Drosophila melanogaster: one gene and its partners. The gene in region 1 interacts genetically with each later gene. Each region holds a gene or a part of one and is shown in the gene's direction. Other genes may lie near its edges.

The links.
Region 2: of nod (region 1) and neb, changing one enhances a phenotype caused by changing the other (phenotypic enhancement), as found in Drosophila melanogaster (one study listed by BioGRID).
Region 3: of nod (region 1) and ncd, changing one enhances a phenotype caused by changing the other (phenotypic enhancement), as found in Drosophila melanogaster (one study listed by BioGRID).
Region 4: of nod (region 1) and lwr, changing one suppresses a phenotype caused by changing the other (phenotypic suppression), as found in Drosophila melanogaster (one study listed by BioGRID).

The regions. Positions count from the first base shown.
Region 1 is NC_004354.4:11,578,946-11,586,298, forward strand, and holds nod (no distributive disjunction), read left to right. Parts: upstream 1-1,826; 5' UTR 1,827-1,978; coding exon 1,979-2,095; intron 2,096-2,159; coding exon 2,160-2,354; intron 2,355-2,424; coding exon 2,425-2,959; intron 2,960-3,011; exon of another isoform or gene 3,012-3,093; coding exon 3,094-3,239; exon of another isoform or gene 3,240-3,248; coding exon of another isoform or gene 3,249-3,528; intron 3,529-3,587; coding exon of another isoform or gene 3,588-5,215; exon of another isoform or gene 5,216-5,230; intron 5,231-5,360; coding exon 5,361-5,551; intron 5,552-5,614; coding exon 5,615-6,325; intron 6,326-6,403; coding exon 6,404-6,509; 3' UTR 6,510-6,805; downstream 6,806-7,353. Other genes in the region: pkm (pinkman), read right to left, coding at 3,249-3,528, 3,588-5,215. UniProt on the Drosophila melanogaster protein: Required for the distributive chromosome segregation of non-exchange chromosomes during meiosis. May be a microtubule motor required to hold distributively 'paired' chromosomes at the metaphase plate until anaphase.
Region 2 is NT_033779.5:20,074,198-20,078,791, forward strand, and holds the start of neb (nebbish), read left to right. Parts: upstream 1-1,559; 5' UTR 1,560-1,659; coding exon 1,660-3,099; intron 3,100-4,594. Other genes in the region: pr (purple), read right to left, coding at 1-139, 574-653, 761-828.
Region 3 is NT_033777.3:29,803,790-29,808,912, reverse strand, and holds ncd (non-claret disjunctional), read left to right. Parts: upstream 1-1,785; 5' UTR 1,786-2,286; coding exon 2,287-2,509; intron 2,510-2,568; coding exon 2,569-3,206; intron 3,207-3,265; coding exon 3,266-4,507; 3' UTR 4,508-4,623; downstream 4,624-5,123. Other genes in the region: ca (claret), read right to left, coding at 1-444, 507-1,108, 1,311-1,578; CG7789 (uncharacterized protein), read right to left, coding at 4,627-5,123. UniProt on the Drosophila melanogaster protein: Minus-end-directed microtubule-based motor protein. Has ATPase activity. Required for normal chromosomal segregation in meiosis in females, and in early mitotic divisions of the embryo.
Region 4 is NT_033779.5:540,051-544,203, reverse strand, and holds lwr (lesswright), read left to right. Parts: upstream 1-1,623; 5' UTR 1,624-1,774; intron 1,775-1,824; exon of another isoform or gene 1,825-1,853; 5' UTR 1,854-1,956; coding exon 1,957-2,436; 3' UTR 2,437-2,495; exon of another isoform or gene 2,496-2,967; intron 2,968-3,035; 3' UTR 3,036-3,605; downstream 3,606-4,153. Other genes in the region: Spp (signal peptide peptidase), read left to right, coding at 1-788, 855-963.

The DNA.
Region 1 (7,353 bases):
GGAATCCCGCTATTTTCGCATTCATGCAGTTCCCACTATATTTTATTCGGTATTTTCGCAGTCATTAGTGTGGCCAAAACTCGAAAATATCAAGGGCTAGAGCAGCTAGATGTTGCGGCATTCGCGGCCTGGTCACACTAAGCTAGGGCTACTTTTTATATCATAAGTCGAGCGTTTAGGTAAGCGAAACAAAAAGAGCTTTAGTTAGAGGTATTAGTTTGGTTGCTATTATTTCTAAATTGAAAACTTCACTTCCTTTGATCCAAAAGACACTGAAAAGACACGTTTGCAGTTGAGTTCATTATTTTCTGGTATACATACACACTGATTACTCATTCAATTGGCATTTTGCTCTTGTTTTTCTCCGATTGCCTTGCACTCGCATAAATTTAACACAAAAAAGAAGTTCGGGGTGTTTAGAATCCATCCACTTGGTACAGTTCCCATCGAGCTGGTGAGTACTCCGCGCAGTGCAACGTATACACACTTGAACTCGAATTCTGGCAGCAAAATGGTGGTGACCTATTAATAACACCCGCTCAATTTTCCCTCGCTTTTCCATTCAGTCTCCAACTAGCTGCAAGTGAGTACGTTACTTCCGAGATCCTCTCCAAAAAAATAAAACATAAATCCAAATCCAACCAGTGTAGCATCCATTGAATTAGATTTTCCGACACGTTGCGCCTATGACAATCCTAATTCCATCCTCTTCTCTTTCGTTTAGGTAGCTCGGATGGCCATCGAAAGGGTAAATTGGTGTTACATATAGCTTTAGAGATCGTTTCGAATCACATTGATAATCGTTCGAAACGTTCTCCGAAGCAAAATCAAGCAAGAGTAACGATTTCCGCATAGTCGAAAATGTTTAAGTTGAATTGTCTTACGGACAGTGAGATGAGTACGACTATTTGGAAATCACAAACGAATTGTTTTCATGGTTGACGCGCTTGTCAAGCTACAAAACAAAATGAATGATATACAATATACAATATACAATATGCAATACAATACAATACAAGACAAAAAAATGTGTCTTGGAACGCAACATTGTACAAGTCGCAATGCAAACTGAAGTCTTAAAAGACGTGTAAAATGTTGCAAATTAAGCAAATATATATGCATATATGGGTAACGTTTTACGCGCCTTAACCAGTCAAAATACAAAATAAATTGGTAAATTTCATATAACTAGTGAAATGTTATACGAAACTTAACAATTGCCAAATAATACAGATCGATTTAGAGCGAGATGACAATAGAGAGGCGATCTCTCTCGTATACGAGTCTTGAAAAGAAAGAGAAGGCGAACGGTGCTGGCTTAGAGAGAGATGGCAATACTAATTAACTGCAAATACATTTCCGCCATTTTGTTGGCGCTAAAAGTAACGGAAATTCGAGATGCTTTTAGGGCTGCCACCTTGGTTTCCAGGGTGACCAGAACTGACACTTAAATTACATATGACAAATAAAGACTTATCTGCTATTGCAAATACTGTTTTAAGCGGCTTTTTTTCCATCAAATTTGTTAGTTCTTGTTCCTGTTTTAATAAGTTGGCAATACCGATCCTCCGCACTTGCTATGTGTGTCTATAATCATATAGGGTGGCAGCGCAGGCCAGGGCTGGCAAGGGTGGCGCATTAACAGAGTTCTGTAATGTTATGCTCATGAACAATAGCGATGCCATTGTGCACGATATGTTTGCAAAACATGTTAAGTTGTGTGCAGTATTTTAGCAAGATTAAGTTAAATTAGAGATGGCCCCTACAACATACACATACCAAAAGCGAGGTCACAAGCCACAATGTAAATATCCATGACACCAACCCAGATCGTTCTTAGTGTTATTACCGCGACGGTCACACTGCCAAAATCAATTTGAAATGCAAAGGTCGCTTGGCTTCGTCAAAAAAGTAAAATAATTACGGTGAATGCAAGCCAATTGTGCATTATTCAAACAACTTCAATTCTTCAATCTGCATGGAGGGCGCCAAATTAAGCGCAGTTCGGATTGCGGTCCGCGAGGCGCCGTACCGCCAGTTCTTGGGGCGTCGGGAGCCCAGCGTCGTCCAGTTTCCGCCATGGAGCGACGGAAAGGTATGTGCCCCACCATTGGCCATGTGCATGTCTAACGGTATATGACCGCCATCTCGCTTTGTAGTCGTTAATAGTGGATCAGAATGAATTCCACTTCGATCACGCCTTTCCCGCGACCATCAGCCAGGATGAGATGTACCAGGCGCTGATCTTGCCGCTGGTGGACAAGCTGCTCGAGGGATTCCAGTGCACTGCACTCGCCTACGGCCAGACGGGAACGGGCAAGAGCTACTCAATGGGCATGACACCTCCGGGAGAGGTGGGTTTTTCGTTTAGCCATCAGTGGCTTAAATCTTTCCCACTGATCTATCGCTTCTATTCCTTTACAGATACTGCCCGAGCACCTGGGTATTCTGCCTCGCGCCCTGGGCGACATTTTTGAGCGCGTGACCGCCCGGCAGGAGAACAACAAGGATGCGATTCAGGTGTACGCCTCCTTCATAGAGATCTACAATGAGAAACCCTTCGATCTGCTGGGCTCCACGCCACATATGCCCATGGTGGCGGCGCGTTGCCAGCGATGCACCTGCCTTCCTTTGCACAGCCAGGCGGATCTGCATCACATCTTGGAGCTAGGCACTCGCAATCGACGCGTTCGTCCCACCAATATGAATTCCAATAGTTCGCGATCCCATGCCATAGTCACCATTCACGTGAAGAGTAAAACCCATCACTCGCGGATGAATATTGTGGATCTGGCCGGTTCAGAAGGCGTGCGGCGAACTGGGCACGAGGGCGTGGCCAGGCAGGAGGGCGTCAACATCAATCTGGGCCTGTTGAGCATCAACAAGGTGGTGATGTCCATGGCGGCGGGCCACACAGTGATACCATACCGCGACAGCGTCCTTACCACAGTTCTGCAGGGTAAGTGCTACGTTTTGGATCGTCTCATGCTCAATTAGTTAGTGGACCATTTGGGTTCAAGCCTTTATTGATTAGCGACTTAGTGACTACTATAAATATTGACTGCAACTTCTTGCCGTTTTCATTCTTTGCAGCCTCGCTAACCGCGCAGTCGTATCTGACCTTTCTGGCCTGCATCAGTCCGCATCAATGCGATCTCAGCGAGACGTTGTCCACCCTGCGTTTTGGCACCAGTGCCAAGAAGCTTCGGCTGAATCCGATGCAAGTGGCGCGCCAGAAGGTGAGCCATCTATATGTAATTAAAGTCCACACAGTCGAGGATCACCTCGCGTATACGCTGTTTAAATGTAGCCTCGTTGCCCGCGCCCAGGAAACCAGCTCCATGGAGATCCGTAGTGGCCCCCGCCTCGATGCGCTCGCTAATTGCCTGAAGGTCGGGCACATCCTGACCCTGCATCGTTACAATGGGTAGAACCATCATGGCGAGAAGCAGGCCCACAGCCGCTTTGGTAGCCACCTGTTCATCGAATGCAGGACGGGGAAAAAGTTGCTCCACCCGCTCGCCTAGTCTGTTGCGAACACAACAATACAATAGTTGAAGCTCTAGGATTCTTATACTTTTACTTACCTAATCAGCTGCAGGCCCAACTCTTCATAGTAATCCTCGAGCATATTTTCGAGGTGTCGCTGCCGGAATCGCCGCGAAGTGCAAGTGAAGAGGAAGTAAGCTAGATCGGTGACCGGCGAGGCATATCGCATCAGTTGCCAGTCGATCAGGCGCACGTCCTCGAGCTCGCCCCGCTCTGTACTCTTGTAGAGAATGTTGTTATTCCAGCAATCGCCGTGGCAAATAACAGCGAAGGGTTCGCAATTGAATCCGCTGACCAAAGGCAGCAGCAGCTCAAAGTACGATCCTCTGGCGAAGTACGCCTCCAGACGAACTCTGTATGCATCATCCGCCGGTGCGAGCAGTGCGGATAGGGCGCTTTCCTTCAGATTCTCGAAGTAGACCCCCAAGGCATGATCATCGCGTCGCTGCTCAAAGATATCCACCAGCTGCTGCAGTTGTTGCATTTTCTCGGGCAACTGCCGTTTCCCGGCCAATGATATAGCATGTAATTTGGCATAGGTGAGCATTACGCGACGCACATGCTCGACGGATAGGTCGAGAAAGCGATTGTGCAGTGAGAAGCCGGCACAAGACAGATCCTCCAGCACGATGCACTCGTTGGGCTCATCCTGGCGAGTTCCGAAACAGAGCGCGTGCTGCCGGAAACGATCATCTCCGATTATCTTCCACTTATCCTGAATTAACGCAGTCAGCGGCAGAAAGACCTCATATGCTGCCGTCTCGCGCAGGAAACATGGTCGTGCAAAGAATTGCTTGCGGCGCACGCGATTCTGTGGCGGCAGTTTAACCACCAGGCTGCGTTTCGAATCGGATGCCGCCTGTAGGCGCCACACCACGCCCAAATAGTTGTCGCCCTTGGCACTCGCCCTTTCCAGACGCAGTTCCGGATTGGCGCCCAGCTCTGGCCACAGCTGGCTGACCAGTTGGCGAAGGAACTGTGTAACCTGCTCGTTGGGCAGATCTTCGTCTGGCTTGGCTGTGTCCTCTTGTTGCTCTACAGGACTCTCCATCCTGTCTGGGTGCTCTCTATTCACCTCCCCATTTCGTTCATCTTCGGTGTCTTCATGTGGATCTGGTTCGGCTTCCTTCTGATCAACTTGCTCTGCTGGAGCTGCTAGGTTGCCAGTGAGCTGAATCTCACTCGCAGAGATTTCTGCTAGTTTTTCCCTGTCCGCATTCTCTGCCAGCTCATCCTTTGATTTCGCCTCAGGCTCATCATCTCCTTCCAACAACTGATCTCCAAATGTTTGATTCAACTGGGGAATTTTTTTATCAAGCTCCTCTATGCCTTTGAGCTCTTGTTTGTCGATCACTTTCGAATCAATCTCTTTGGCTAGTTGTTTTTCAATGTGCTCCACCTCAGCACCTCTCGGTTCCTCCAACTCTGCCACCAATTCCTCCTTTTTCACACGATTATCTTCTAAATCCTGCACTGCTTCGCTGTTATTTGAGTTCTCCTCCTTTGGTTCCTCAACATCAATTCGTTTAGGTGACTTCTGATCGACATCTGGATAACTTTCTGTTGAGTCTGGTGAATTTCCTTGATCGGATGCCACTTCTATCACTTCCTGACTTTGGCGATCTTTCTGCTCCCCCTCCTGCGTCTTCTCACTGGGCTGTTCCATGGCACACTACGCCACCGCCGCGAGTGTGGATCGTTTATATAGAGAAACCAAGCCGTACCGAACCGAACTCATTCCAACCGCACTGACCGCAAATCGAACGATGCAGTTACTCGAGTTTCATCCACCCATCTTGCTCTGATTGCAGCAATCGCTGGCCGCACGGACAACACACGTCTTCCGCCAAGCGCTATGCACCTCGACGGCCATCAAGTCAAACGCAGCCAATCATAATAGCATAGTGGTTCCAAAATCCAAATATAGCACAACCAAGCCGCTGAGCGCCGTGCTCCATCGAACTCGCTCCGAACTTGGCATGACGCCCAAAGCTAAGAAAAGGTGAGTAACACGGAATGGACCAAAAGCGAAGATGATCTAATCCTCCCATATCTTCCTCCATAGGGCTCGCGAGCTATTGGAGCTGGAGGAGACCACGCTGGAGCTCTCGTCTATACACATTCAGGACAGCAGTCTGAGTCTGTTGGGTTTCCATAGCGATAGCGATAAGGATAGGCATTTAATGCCTCCCCCAACAGGGCAAGAGCCAAGGCAAGCCAGCAGCCAGAACTCTACGCTAATGGGCATTGTCGAAGAGACCGAGCCCAAGGAATCGTCAAAGGTGCAACAGTCAATGGTTGCCCCCACGGTGCCCACAACTGTACGCTGCCAGCTGTTCAACACCACCATCAGTCCCATCAGTCTACGGGCATCCAGCTCTCAGCGAGAACTTAGCGGCATCCAGCCAATGGAGGAGACAGTAGTGGCTTCGCCACAGCAGCCATGCCTTCGTCGTTCCGTGCGTCTAGCGAGTAGCATGCGTTCGCAGAACTATGGAGCCATTCCCAAGGTTATGAATTTGCGGCGCAGCACGCGGCTGGCGGGAATCCGGGAACATGCCACCTCCGTTGTTGTGAAAAACGAGACGGATGCGATACCGCACCTTCGAAGTACAGTGCAAAAAAAACGTACGCGAAACGTGAAACCTGCGCCCAAGGCCTGGATGGCCAATAATACAAAATGTTTTCTGGACCTGCTTAACAATGGAAACGTTAAGCAATTGCAGGAGATTCCAGGGATCGGTCCAAAGTCCGCCTTTAGTTTGGCCTTGCACAGGTAAGTTACTTACATAGTTGGCATACCTTTATTTGCGTTTTACCCAATAACCCTTAATCCGTAATCCACATTTTTCAGATCCCGCCTGGGTTGCTTCGAGAATCTTTTTCAAGTCAAATCCCTGCCCATTTGGTCGGGAAATAAATGGGAACGATTTTGTCAAATTAACTGTCTCGACACTTGATACAATTACTAATTAAATAGCATTTTAATTCGAATATAGTATAGTGATTGTTATTTATGTGGCATATACTTTGATTTTACAACTATAGTAGGAGTAAAAAAAGGAGCCGGATATCCTAAAACAAACAGTTATATATGTGTATGTGTAATATTTCTCAAGATGTTTACTTATTTTTTGTTTTCGACTATAATTTATTTGATGATAGCTTAGACTACCTATTAAATAAGCGCTATGTAATCTAATATTTAATTGCATTTTTTGATTTAAAGTAAAATAACTTTTAGGTCAATAACAATAATAATAGGACTTTTACACTTTGACACTTTTTATTCTTGGCATATAATTTTTAGACAATATACATATATATATACATTGATTATTGAAGTCGTCGATCTTCACTCTTCGCACTCACTCAACAGGGGGATTCTATCTACGAATCCATCAGTTTCGGCCGCTTCGATTCCAGTTTAGTTAGCACTCTCTCCTGGTTGATTTGGTATATACATACATACATATTTGATATATATATGTATATAGGTATGTATGATCATACGATTAGCATACGAGATAAGCTGCCAATCCAATCCAAACACATGGCGCTGGAAATCGGCATTCCATACACATTCCTACTCTCTTTTGGCTGGAAATCTTATCCGATTTCCCTTCGCTTCAAACATCAAAATACTCTGTTTGGGTTTCCCGAGCGTTGATTCATTAATCTAGCCATGATATAACAACCAAAATAATATCAAGCTATAGAATATATTTTTTAAAGAAAAAAAATCAGTCTGCGGGCATCCAGTTCTCAGCGAGAACTTAGCGGCATCCAGCTAATGGAGGAGAC
Region 2 (4,594 bases), on another chromosome or scaffold:
GCAAAGTATTCGACATCCTTATCGAGATTCTTGTGGTCCAGGCGCTTCATAATCACAGTTTCTATAGCCTCTTTCAGCTCGGTGATGTTTAGCACCATTCCGGTTCGCCGATCGATGGGACCACGGACGGTTATCTCAACTGAAAAGATCACAAAGGATTATAAAAGAACATCTTTCGTAGTCTATTCACACATTTTTTGGTATAATTTGGTATAATCGGCATCGAGTCAAGCTTGAGTTCTTAAGGTTTAGCTATTGACAATCTAAATATAATCCAAATTTCTAATCAGTTGAGCACTTGCGACACTTTATGCTCGTTCAGAACCATTATTCATTATCAATTCTCGGTCGCCAGTCAACATATTGATTGCCTTTGAGCGTTGAACTTGAATATGGTTTTGATAAGCGAGCTTGTCGGCCAAGGTTTTGCTATGGTTAGGCACCACTTTGGGCTCAAATTACCAGTTTAGTAGGGGGTTAAGCCTGATTGAGCCGGGGTTATGTGATAATAAGTGTGGCACTTTGCAGGTAATCATGCGACTAAGTGTATTTAAGGGGTATTTTTTTTTTTACCTGTATAGTTGTGTCCGTGGCCGTGGAAATTGTTGCACTTGCCGAAGACTTCCAGATTCTCGGCGTCGCTCAATTGGGGACTGAAGAGAAAATAGATGCAGCAATCAATTTAAATCGAACTGAATTGGTTTGCCAGCCGTGATTGAATCAGGCAATTGAATGATTCAATTTGATTCAATCTAATTACCTATGGAGACGATGGCAGGCGCTGAAAGTTTCGCGACGGGTTAAAAAGGCAACAGGTTGCTGCGACATTTCAAGTCCGATTTATACTATATATCTGGATCTGTATCTGGATGTGGATTTATATATGCGGCTGATCAGCTGCGCGCTTTGGCAATGTTTTACAATGAATGCAAAACCTGCTTTTGAGCCGCGCTTATTTATATGGTACTTGGATCGAGGGAACAAGGAAATATAAGCCACAAATGCGGCGACTGCGATATCAACACGCTCGGAACTAGTTTCTCTGAACTTTTCGAGTGCGGCTAATTGCAGCTGATTAGCGATTGATGTTCCCTCGTTTTCTGTTGCAAGTGCCTATGCGTGCTGCAAAGACAGGGTGTGGTATGCTATAGCCATGGTAACAAACTCAATTCAGCAAGGAACTCACCTTTAATTGCTATGGATTTTCAATAATATTTACTTTTGTCTACGTTGCTCGTCAACAGCTGCTCCCGATAACAAGGCAGCGCGTATCGGTTATCGGCCAGAGCTGAGCAGTTTGCCGCCACAACTGTTCTCAGTGATTTACAACTGCACAAATAGACTATTGTATGGGTAGAAATCCTTACACTATTACAATTTCGCTATATATTTATTTATTTCATGTTAGTTCTTTGTCAATTATCTCATAATTTAAATGAGCTGATTAACAGAGTTAGCTAACAGAGTATGTAAGTGCTGTTCATCCCTGGCTCGTGGTGGCGTTGCCGGACCTCACGCCGCTCACTGTAATCAACCCTGCTTTGCTATCGATCGCCGCCCTTCACTAGAAAAAAAATAACAAACGACGCCGCGCAATAATTCGAAACTCTTCGGCGTTATTTAAAAAACGAGCAGAGATACCTAAATAATAATCTAGACATGAGCAACAAGAGCACTCCGGTGCGGCAGCGCATCCAGCAGTTCCAGACGCGAGGAGTCCACAAATCCACGCCGGCATCCGAGATGCGCAAGAAGGTGCTGATGACGCGGGCGGAGGATCGGGAGCACCGGGATCGTCCCGAACAGCTGCTGAACACTGCATTCAGCGGGAGCACGCCACAGCCGAAGCCCAAGCCCACGGCCCTGAATGCCTGCTACACACCCTCGTCGCTGTACAGGAATGCGAACTCTACTCCTGGAAGAGCAAAGACGCCCGGCACCGGGAAATCCAGCTGCAGCAGGACAAAGGAGCGGGACTCTCTGATGGAGTCCTGCCTCAGCGTGTCCGAGGAGAGCAACATGATTGTGGCGGTGCGAGTGCGGCCACTGAATGCCCTGGAATGCACACGTGGTCAGGTCACCAATGTGGTCCAGGTGCACGGAAACAGCAACGAGCTGACTGTCCAAGCGGGCAGCAGTGCTGATGCCTCCGCCGGCGTGACGCACTTCTTCAGCTACGACCAGGTCTACTACTCGTGCGATCCCGAACGAAAGAACTTCGCCTGCCAGGCCAAAGTCTTTGAGGGCACAGCGCGTCCCTTGATCGACACTGCCTTCGAGGGCTACAATGCCTGCTTGTTTGCCTACGGCCAGACGGGCTCGGGCAAATCGTACAGCATGATGGGCATTGAAGCATTGGATGACGCCGCTCTGGATGGCGGACCGCCGCACGATGAGGCGGGCATCATTCCACGCTTCTGCCACGAGCTATTCCGCCGCATAGAGGCTGTGAAAAGTCAGCAGCAGCTGCAGGTGGAGGTGGAGGTCAGCTACTTTGAGATCTACAACGAGAAGATACACGATCTGCTGAGTGTCCAGCATGCGGCAGCTGCCACCGGGGAATCCACGCCCATCCAGCAGCAACAACAGCAGCAGCGTCCGGCTCTAAAGGTCAGGGAGCATCCCATCTTCGGGCCCTACGTAGTGGACTTGAGTGCCCACTCGGTGGACTCGTACTCGGCACTCCGCAACTGGCTTGCCGTGGGCAACTCCCAGCGGGCCACTGCCTCCACGGCCATGAACGACAAGAGCTCGCGCTCACACTCCATCTTCAACATTGTCCTAAACCTCACCGATCTGAGCAGTGACGATGGCCTGTCCTCGGATACGGACTCGAGCACGGCCTCCTCCCTGCGGCAGACGCGGCGCAGCAAGATTAGCCTGGTGGACCTGGCGGGCAGCGAACGCATTAGCGTCTCCGGATCGAACGGCGAGCGGATCCGCGAGGGCGTCAGCATCAACAAGAGCCTGCTGACGCTGGGGAAAGTAATTGCTGCTCTCGCCGATTCCCGCAAGGCGATCGCCAATGGACCCCTGGGCTCTGGGACGCCCAGCACCTTCGTTCCCTATCGCGAGAGCGTGCTCACCTGGCTGTTGCGGGTAAGTGTTACGAAATAGTTCTTAGCTGCGTTTGTACTTATCAACCGGGTCAGTAGGTTGGTCTACTTTCGGCTAATGATAACTCTTTCTTATCCCCTTGGTTTTTGAAATCAATAATTGTACCCAGAAGTGATTGCTAAGTATGTGTTTCGAATAAGTTCAGCTCAGTAAAACCTTATAACCTCATGTCTTCAATATAAATGCATATGTATATTCGCAATGCTTTCCGCACTTTTGCCACCACCGATAGGATTGCTTATCAACACTTTCGCTTCGATTAGGCAGTGGCCCACGGAATGGGGTCCCCTTGCAATCAGTAATTACCCGGAAAGCAATCAGTACGTAGAACTGCACTGCAACATGCAAATGACACGTTGACCCCTGCGGAAAGTACCCACAAAATGTTCGTACGGTCAAATGTTTACTTAACTGGCTGGCAGATATTCGTCTTTTCAACAGATCTCGTGATGAGCTATGAAGCCCACTGTCTACAGAGATATCATCTCGACTCGCGCGACACGCGAATTCTGTTTTAATGATGTCTGCACTGCGAGGAGCAGCTGCTAGACAGATTTATGTTGGCTCTATCAATTAACTGGGGTGCTAATTACTTTAATTAAAATAAAGCGTCAAATTGTCCGAAAAAAACAAGGAAAAGAAGACGACAACATCAGCCAGAGATTAGATTGAGTTTATCTGCGCTTTATAGGACTAAATATGAGAGATCTCGAGTTCTAAACTCGAACCTTGTTATCATTCGTTTGTTTATTTTGTTTGCTAAGATTGCCAGCAGACTTAGTGTATTTTTTATTATTATTATTTCCTTATCATTTTCGATAGGAAAGCCTTTTATTAAGGTCTACCAAATCAAAGACCTCCCGCACCTCAATCAATTGAGTGATTAAAATTTTGGCCTCTTATCATATCTATTTAATCTATTGTTGTTGCTTTTCCTATGTGACCATAAAATTTATGACCTGATACAAAGGCGCACGTGTAAACTTTCTAGAAATTTATTTTAAGAACGCGAATAAAAAGATAGCAGTGTCTTCACCCGGGTAATATAATTATTTTGTTATAAAACCTCAGCAAATGCTTACATAGCATTAGCAGGAAAATTGTTATAAACTTGTCATGAGACTTGAATGTTGTGCATTAGTTAACATATTAGCTACTTGTTTCACGATTGTTTGAATTGAGTAACGACTGCGTTTTCTTTAGCAATCAATGTAACATACTTATGTGTGCATTTTAAGTTAACAACTGCTCTTAAGCGAACGCCACACGTTCGTAATAACTTGATTGTTGGAATATTACCAGGCTAGTTAATCCGAAAGTGAGGGTTTTATATAATACAAGTATCTGGCTTCTAAAAAAAGGCGCACTCGACATTTGCGACGTAATTTATAATCATTCGACTGCATTCAATGAGTAATTACATGGCGCCCACAAGTGAGAGGCTCTTGATCGAAAGTCCAAACACTTGTCTTTTTTC
Region 3 (5,123 bases), on another chromosome or scaffold:
CGTGGCGGGCAGAATGCCATCCATGCTGCCCGCTGGCAGCTGTTGTTGCTGGAAGCGAACGCCGCCTTGGTCACCGGATTGCCTAGCCACTGCCTCACTGTACGAAGGCGGCGCCGGTGGTGGAGGCACGTCTGCAGTGGCTGCCTCTGCGGATGCCGAAACAGTGGACGGGTCTGAGTTGGCTGCTCCTGGACCACTGCATACCACATCATCGCTGGACGGAGGCGCGAACACATCCTCTTCCAGTTGGCTACTGTCCGAGGCCGGATCGGAACTATTGCTTTGTCGGGCGCCTGTCGCCGCACTCTGATGCTTGTCCTGCACGGACATCACGATCTGCCAGGCGCCCTCGCGGGTTGTCGGGGAACTGTCTCCGGGATAGACGTATTTGATTGCCTTTTGCTCCAGCAAAAGTTTGTACTGCTGCTTCAGGGAGGAAGTTATCTGAAAGACGGTAAACCATATTCTATCATCTGGAAATCTATATTAGTAGAATAGTTCCTTACCAGCAGCATAACACCATCGTAGGCTTTATCTTTGCAGATAACCAGGCGCATCACAGATCCGTTTTCGATGGCAGTGCTCGCAATCATGGGGCAGTTGGGACTCAGGCCCACAAAGCAGATGGAGCCATCCGAGTAGCCGATAATGGCCCTATTCTGTCCACTGTTGGTCTTCCACCAGACGACGGACAAGGGATAGGGGCAGGTCTTGGACGCCATGAAAGAGGCTGCCATCACCTGGCTATTGCCGGTGGTATCGATCGTCTGCTGCTGCTGCGGCAGTGGCTGCACTGCATCCTCAGTTCCGCTATTTCGCACCAGCATGTGCTCGGGCAGGTCGTGGCCAAGAGGCTCCTCCTCTTCGCCTTCCTGCAACCTGGCCTGCTCTAGGTTCTCAGCCAACTGATCCATTGGCTCCGCCGTGGACTCTTCCAGACCGGTGGAGTGATTGGGGCACTTTTTGGAGTTGGGACACTCGTGGGGGCCCACAAAGGGGATGATGTAGGAGGTGACCTGGGTGGTGCTGTAGAGCGAGCAGGCGGACAGTCCATGGGCCTTGTCCACCAACGCCAGGGCGGGCACGATGTGCAGTGTGTTGTCGAAACCTGTTGACAGAGCAGTGGATAAGTGGTGTTTGAGCAAGGACTCCATTCGATCGTTAAATCAAAACAAAGGGGAGGCAGCAGAAAATCAATAACCATACACGCACACATGGGGGCAAAGTAATTTTAGCAGCACCACCACAGCAACCACCCACCCAACACAAAAAAGTGGGTGGTGCTCATGCCATCATACGCTGAAACTCACATAGCACCAGCAGCCAAACGCCCGCCGGATCGAAGCAGACGTCGTGGATGACGCGGTTGCGGAACCAGGATATCATCTTGACCACCTCCTGGCCGGAGGCGGCGCTTATGTAGCGCAGCAGGATCTCGTTTTCCTCAGAAACGAGGCATAGGAACTGTCGCTTTTCGTCCAGCCCCGCTGTCACCGCGGACAGCTTGCAGCTGATGTTAGTGATCAGCGGGCGCAGCTCGAACATGCCCAGCTCCTTGAGCTCCGCCTGCCCCGACATCTCGGGGGGATTGGCGGACGTGGGGGAAGCCAATTTTAAAATTCACAAAATCAGTTCGATGGGAACGAGCCTTTTCCAATCCGAATGAAAACAAACTAGAGATGGTCGCGTGAGACCTGCGGCCGGTCTGGCAACGACCCGATCACGCAACTGCTTTCCAACTGGAACGCAATTTCCACAGCTTTTTCGAGGCAACAAATAAATTTCAGAATAGCGCGGCCTTCCTTCACACCGCACAAGCTCGCAAAAAGAAAGCAAAACGCTTTCAAGAAGTTCGCCCCGGATTGCCGCAACCGTCCGGCAACGACACTAGTGCTGCGCACAAGACTTCACTCTTCAGGCTGTTGAACAGTCCGCCGCGACTTTTCCACAAAATGAACGGTTCGAATGCAACAGCCACCGTATTTCACACCCGCTTGGGTGAGTTTCACGCGCCGAAAACCTGCGGGATGCACGAGTCAAGGCGAAAATTTGTGCCCGAGGGCCAAAGCTGCAGCACTGAAAACATCTGATTGACAAACTGGAAGTCGTCTTGGCTGGCAACGCCGTACTCTCCCGACAAATGGTCACACTGCCCCAGAGCATCCCTGCAATCAAAAATAACGGCGGGAATCGACGGCGTCGCTTGTCAACAACGCAAAACTAATTGATAAAATCGGTTGCAAGGAGGCAGACGTATCTTCTAAGTTAGGCACAACACAGTTGGCGATGGAATCCCGGCTACCGAAACCGTCGGGCCTGAAGAAACCCCAAATGCCGATTAAAACCGTGCTGCCCACAGATCGAATTCGCGCAGGATTGGGAGGTGGAGCCGCTGGAGCAGGCGCCTTCAATGTCAATGCCAACCAGACATACTGCGGCAACTTATTGCCGCCCCTCTCAAGGGACCTCAACAATCTGCCCCAGGTGCTGGAGCGTCGCGGAGGAGGAGGTGAGTAAAGAAGCATCCTTCCAAAGAATTCACCTTAAGTCCTTGCTAATTTCCGATAGCACGTGCCGCCTCCCCAGAGCCCATGAAGTTGGGCCACCGGGCCAAGCTGAGACGTAGCCGTAGCGCTTGCGACATCAACGAACTGCGTGGTAACAAGCGCACTGCGGCTGCTCCTTCATTGCCCAGCATTCCCAGCAAAGTATCCCGCCTGGGCGGTGCACTCACTGTTTCCAGCCAGCGACTAGTGCGTCCTGCGGCGCCTTCGTCAATAACAGCAACAGCTGTCAAAAGACCACCAGTAACGCGTCCTGCTCCACGGGCTGCAGGAGGAGCAGCCGCCAAGAAACCAGCAGGAACAGGAGCAGCAGCTTCGTCAGGAGCCGCGGCTGCTGCTCCCAAGCGCATCGCTCCCTACGACTTCAAGGCCCGCTTCCACGATCTGCTAGAGAAGCACAAGGTGCTTAAGACAAAGTACGAAAAGCAAACAGAGGACATGGGCGAGCTGGAGTCCATGCCTCAGCAACTGGAGGAGACGCAGAACAAGCTTATCGAGACGGAGTCCTCGCTGAAGAACACCCAGAGCGACAACGAGTGTCTTCAGAGGCAGGTGAAGCAGCATACCGCCAAAATTGAAACAATCACATCGACGCTGGGCAGGACCAAAGAGGAGCTATCCGAGCTGCAAGCAATACATGAGGTGAGTACTCAAGTAAACAGAAACCCAGGTTAAATGTAACAACAATGTGTGTGTTGCAGAAAGTAAAAACGGAGCATGCTGCTCTAAGCACAGAAGTGGTGCATCTGCGCCAGCGCACCGAGGAACTCCTGCGCTGCAATGAGCAGCAGGCCGCCGAGCTGGAGACCTGCAAAGAGCAGCTCTTCCAGTCGAACATGGAGCGCAAAGAGCTGCACAACACGGTCATGGACCTGCGCGGCAACATCCGGGTCTTCTGTCGAATACGACCGCCGCTGGAGTCCGAGGAGAACCGTATGTGTTGCACCTGGACCTATCACGACGAGTCCACCGTGGAGCTGCAGAGCATTGACGCACAGGCCAAAAGCAAGATGGGCCAGCAGATCTTCTCATTCGACCAGGTCTTCCACCCGCTCTCCTCGCAGTCGGACATCTTCGAGATGGTCTCGCCGCTCATCCAGTCGGCCCTGGATGGCTACAATATCTGCATCTTTGCCTACGGACAGACGGGCAGTGGCAAGACCTACACAATGGACGGAGTGCCGGAGAGTGTGGGCGTCATACCGCGCACGGTGGATCTGCTCTTCGACTCCATCCGGGGATATCGCAACTTGGGCTGGGAGTACGAGATCAAGGCCACCTTTCTGGAGATCTACAACGAGGTGCTCTACGATCTGCTGAGCAACGAGCAGAAGGACATGGAGATTCGAATGGCCAAGAACAACAAGAACGACATCTACGTGTCCAACATAACGGAGGAGACGGTTCTGGATCCAAATCACCTGCGCCACCTCATGCACACGGCCAAGATGAACCGTGCCACCGCCTCGACAGCTGGCAACGAGCGCTCCTCTCGTTCCCACGCGGTTACCAAGCTTGAGCTCATCGGACGCCATGCCGAAAAGCAAGAGATCTCCGTGGGTTCCATAAACCTGGTGGATTTGGCCGGCTCTGAGTCTCCCAAGACGAGCACCCGGATGACCGAGACAAAGAACATCAATCGCTCGCTATCGGAGCTCACCAACGTAATCCTGGCGCTGCTGCAGAAGCAGGACCACATCCCGTACAGGAACTCCAAGCTGACGCACCTGCTGATGCCCTCGCTGGGCGGCAACTCGAAAACGCTTATGTTCATCAACGTCTCGCCGTTCCAAGACTGTTTCCAAGAGTCCGTCAAGTCGCTGCGCTTCGCGGCCTCCGTAAACTCCTGCAAAATGACCAAGGCCAAGCGGAATCGCTACCTGAACAACTCGGTGGCCAACAGCAGCACACAGAGCAACAACAGCGGCAGTTTCGATAAATAAAGAATGCATTCTGAGCCCAGTTTTAACAATTTTCAAATTTCTAACCTGTTATTGCTTAATTTATGTGTGTTTACTTTTAGTGCAAATAAACTAATAAAGTGCTGGAATTCAAAGCTATCTCACTTGGCTCCCACTGCTGCCCGCACCTCGGCGGGAATCTTTTCCACCAGCGCGGCATGGTCCTGTCCCAGGCTGGCCAGCACTCCCTGTCGATTCACGTGCTCCACATCCGCATTGTAGGCGTAGTGCTCGCCGTTGATGTTGGTGAGGCAGCCGCCCTGGGCCTCTAGAACGGCCTCGGGTGCGCAGGTGTCCCACTTCTTGCAGCCCGGCGTGGCGAAGACGTACGCGTGGGCCTTTCCCTCCAGCAGCTGGAGCACTTTGAACCCAGCGCCTCCGACTTTCAGAACTTCTGTGGATGCGAATGCGTTGAGGGCTTGCTGATGCAGGGCATTGGAATGCGAGCGAGTGGTGGTTATGATGAACTGGCCGGCTGGCGCGGGGACTGCCGTGAATCCTCCCGTGCCCAGACCCTTCAGGCCCCAAATGGTGCGACCCATTTCGCCATCGGGCTGTTGGTAGAATGGCTGATGAATGATGCCGCCCACAGCAGCAT
Region 4 (4,153 bases), on another chromosome or scaffold:
TCGGCAGCCCTCTTCGGGCTGTACCTGTTCTTCAAGATCTTCCAGAAGGTGCACATCAACTACCTGCTCACCGGCTACTTCTTCGTGCTGGGAGTTATTGCTCTGGCGCACCTGCTCAGTCCGGTGATCAACTCGCTGATGCCCGCCGCCGTGCCGAAGGTGCCCTTCCACATCCTGTTCACTAAGGGGGAGGGCAAGCACAAGGAAGACATCGTTAACTACAAGTTCTCCACGCACGACATTGTCTGCCTGGTGATCTCCTCGGCGATCGGAGTGTGGTACCTGCTCAAGAAGCACTGGATCGCCAACAATCTGTTCGGTCTGGCCTTCGCCATCAACGGCGTGGAGATGCTGCACCTGAACAACTTCGTCACGGGCGTCATCTTGCTGAGCGGCCTGTTCTTCTACGACATCTTCTGGGTATTCGGCACCAACGTGATGGTCACCGTGGCCAAGAGCTTCGAGGCGCCCATCAAGCTAGTGTTCCCCCAGGACCTGATCGAGAACGGCCTGAACGCCTCGAACTTCGCAATGCTGGGACTAGGCGACATCGTTATTCCGGGCATCTTCATCGCTCTGCTGCTGCGCTTCGACGACAGCAAGAAGCGCAAGACGCGCATCTACTTCTACTCCACGCTGATTGCCTACTTCCTTGGCCTGCTGGCCACCATCTTCGTGATGCATGTGTTCAAGCATGCGCAGCCGGCTCTGCTCTACCTGGTGCCAGCCTGCATGGGCACGCCCCTCCTGGTGGCCCTCATCCGCGGCGAGCTGAAGGTGCTCTTTGCGTAAGTGTGGACTGCGCTGGGCGCTCGACTTGAAACTAAACTAACTCATTCTCGCCCCCACTGCAGCTATGAAGATCATCCCGAGGAGAAGCCCGAAAAGAAGGAGAAGAAGGAGAAGGACGAGGGCGTCAGCTCGTCCGGCAGCAAAAAGAAGGAGTCGAAAAAGGGCAAGTAGAGCCGGGAGGACGCAACATCCGAACAACATCCCCACTCGTTCCATCGTAAATGTCTTCTGCAGCTAGCCAAGCTCCCTTTCGTTTCGATATGGCTTCTCCATCTACCGCAGTCCATAGCTCATATGGACTAACACCGCTACAAAAGACGATTCACTTACTGAGTTAGTTATGTACGTTCCTTGGCCAGGCACAACAATCTTATTTAGTTCGGTTAGGTTACAATTGTAGAAAATGTTCCCTCGACTTTTTTACCGCAATCAATTTAAATATGTATTTCAAATATTTCTGTGGCTCCGCACAGGAGGCTTATATGTTTAAGAACAGTTTAGATACAAATATATTCCAATTTTTGTAAACAGTGCAATTTTGACTACGAATTCTACATTGCATTTCTTAAAACTAATGCAGTAATTTGTGTAAACAGTAATGCGAATAAATTTTAATTCTAACGTTTAATTAAACTAGTTTTGTATTGAGTAGAGGGTTTTTAGGAATGTAACGGCTTAAGAGAAAAACCTAATACATTTTAAGTTGAGCTTACCAAAATCCAAAGAATTTTTAAATTTAAAACATAATACAAAAGTGCTTTGAAAAAGTCAGTATTTTAATACCACTGTTTATCCACGGCCACACTAAATATCGATAACCGCATAGTGAGACCCTTTGTGTAGAAAAACTTATACCTTTAGCGAGCACAAGCGTTCATTCCTGAAAAATTGCGGTAAAAATTGCGAAAAGCGCGAGTTCCCCCCGCGATTGCAAATAATTAATTTGCTTGGAACCACTGGAGACGCAAGGACGAACAGAGAGGTAGGTGCTCTTGCACTTAGCGCGCCAAAAGGCGACAAAGCCCCTCGTAGGCCACTTACCCACACACACACATTCGCAGACAGACGCGCGTGCAAAAAAGGCCAAGTGGGACTGCTAGCGGAAATCCAGGACTCGAGGACACGTTCGGGCGGCAGTAGAGAAGCGAGCAAGCAGCGACGACCATGTCCGGCATTGCTATTACACGATTGGGGGAGGAGCGCAAGGCCTGGCGCAAGGATCACCCATTCGGGTTCGTCGCACGACCCGCCAAGAACCCTGACGGCACCCTCAACCTGATGATCTGGGAGTGCGCCATTCCCGGCAAGAAGTCCACCCCCTGGGAGGGCGGGCTCTACAAGCTGCGCATGATCTTCAAGGACGACTACCCCACCTCGCCGCCCAAGTGCAAGTTCGAACCGCCGCTGTTCCACCCGAACGTCTATCCCTCGGGCACTGTTTGCCTGTCGCTGCTGGACGAGGAGAAGGACTGGCGCCCCGCCATCACCATCAAGCAAATCCTGCTGGGCATCCAGGACCTGCTCAACGAGCCGAACATCAAGGACCCAGCCCAGGCGGAGGCCTACACCATCTACTGCCAGAACCGACTGGAGTACGAGAAGCGCGTGCGTGCCCAGGCCCGCGCCATGGCGGCCACTGAGTAGTCGGGCTCCTGCCAACCACCTTTACCACATAGACATTAACAAATACACACATCTAGCCGGTAAGCGTTTGTTTGGAATGCTCTCCACGTCTACTTACTTTTAAAGAATCGACTAATTTTGGATAGCCCCCGCGGCCCGAAGCATCTAATTTTTTAATGTTCTGCACTTGCTTAATTACCAGCATGTACCATCTGAATAAATACAAATAAGTCCTGTAATTTTTCGATGAGGCCCAAAGTGGCCACGTGGCACCCAGAATTCGACGCTCTTTTCAGCTTCCATTCTGGGTGCAGGTGCCGATTATTCTACGGGCTATTTTGTATCGCGAGTACTACGTACAAACCTATGTAATTTCAATAAAAATTTATTAGTTGTAAAAGCTTATGCATTTTAAAGCGGAAAGGATTTCCCAGCAAATGTGCAGTCGAGCACTTGTTGGTCGTCAGTAGCCGTACAGCTGGATTTAGTGCTTGAATTATTCCATATAAAGTTCTTCCTTTTGCTTATTATTTAAGTAACATGACTATTTTTAAATTTAAGCATTTTATTTAAAAACTTGTTCAGTCCATTTTTACCTTTATATTTTATTTGATTTTTAGGCATTTGAAGCTGGTCACATTTCCCAACTATTTCAGCTGATCTGGCAAGTCCGCCAACATTACTATGCATAATTTTTGGCTGATCTGGTAGCATTCGCTGCTGATATAGCAATGCTTCCAGCTAACGGTTCATTTCCAACGAGGCCGCCATATTGAAAAATGCCCAGTTAAAACACCTACTGAGATTTGTGTTCGCCTGGTACTTCAGTCTGGGGAATCCGGCATACTGACAGCTGAATTTATTATTTTTCCCGAGGATGCTCATATATTTCGAACTGAATTACCAGGGAAGCATAAGCGTGGAAAGGTGTTTTTAAAACAACCGCCAGGATTCCCAAAGTCTTGGTTTTGGTGGGCATGCTCTATTCTGAGTACCAGGCGAACAGAACTTCTAGTAGGCTACCAACGATCAGCTGATCTATCTGATGCCTGGTCTAATCTAACGGTTCTTTTATTAGGGATGCCACAATATTTTTCTATTGATCCGGTAATATGTCCGATGTTTGACAATATTTTAATCAATCTGGCAACTATGTCGTCATAACATTTTTCGCTAATCTGGCAGCACTCAAATCGTTCGTTGAATTCAAAAATGTAAAATGTCGTTTAGTTACTAATTTCACTATATTTTATATTGAATAAATTAATTACTTTTATTGTCGCACACACTTAATAAATAATGTACTCATTTAAATTACACAGTTAGAATTGCTCGCTTTATGGGGAACAGCGAGTAATTTACATTATAGTATTGGATCTACATTGGAATACTTCGCCTCCTTCTACTCCGCAGACCATTGCAAACTTGTAGTTTCTCGCCCTCAATTTAATTTCTGTCTAAGTGGTAAGCTTTGGCATGCATTATATGTCATGGTTCCCACTTAATGGGTATGCGCCTAAATTAATGTACCTAAGTATCTATGTGTTATTCCTTTAGGTGTACTGTATATGTACGGGAGTACGATGTATATATCTACTTCTATCGATCGGTAAGTCGAAGGAGTCAGTCCCCAAATGGAGTTGGAAGTGGAGGGCAGCGACGGGAGATTTTCCGGGAATACTGTCGTCGATGGTTGGTTGCGGTTTGGATAGTGTACATTTTTAAAGGAGGCTAGGAT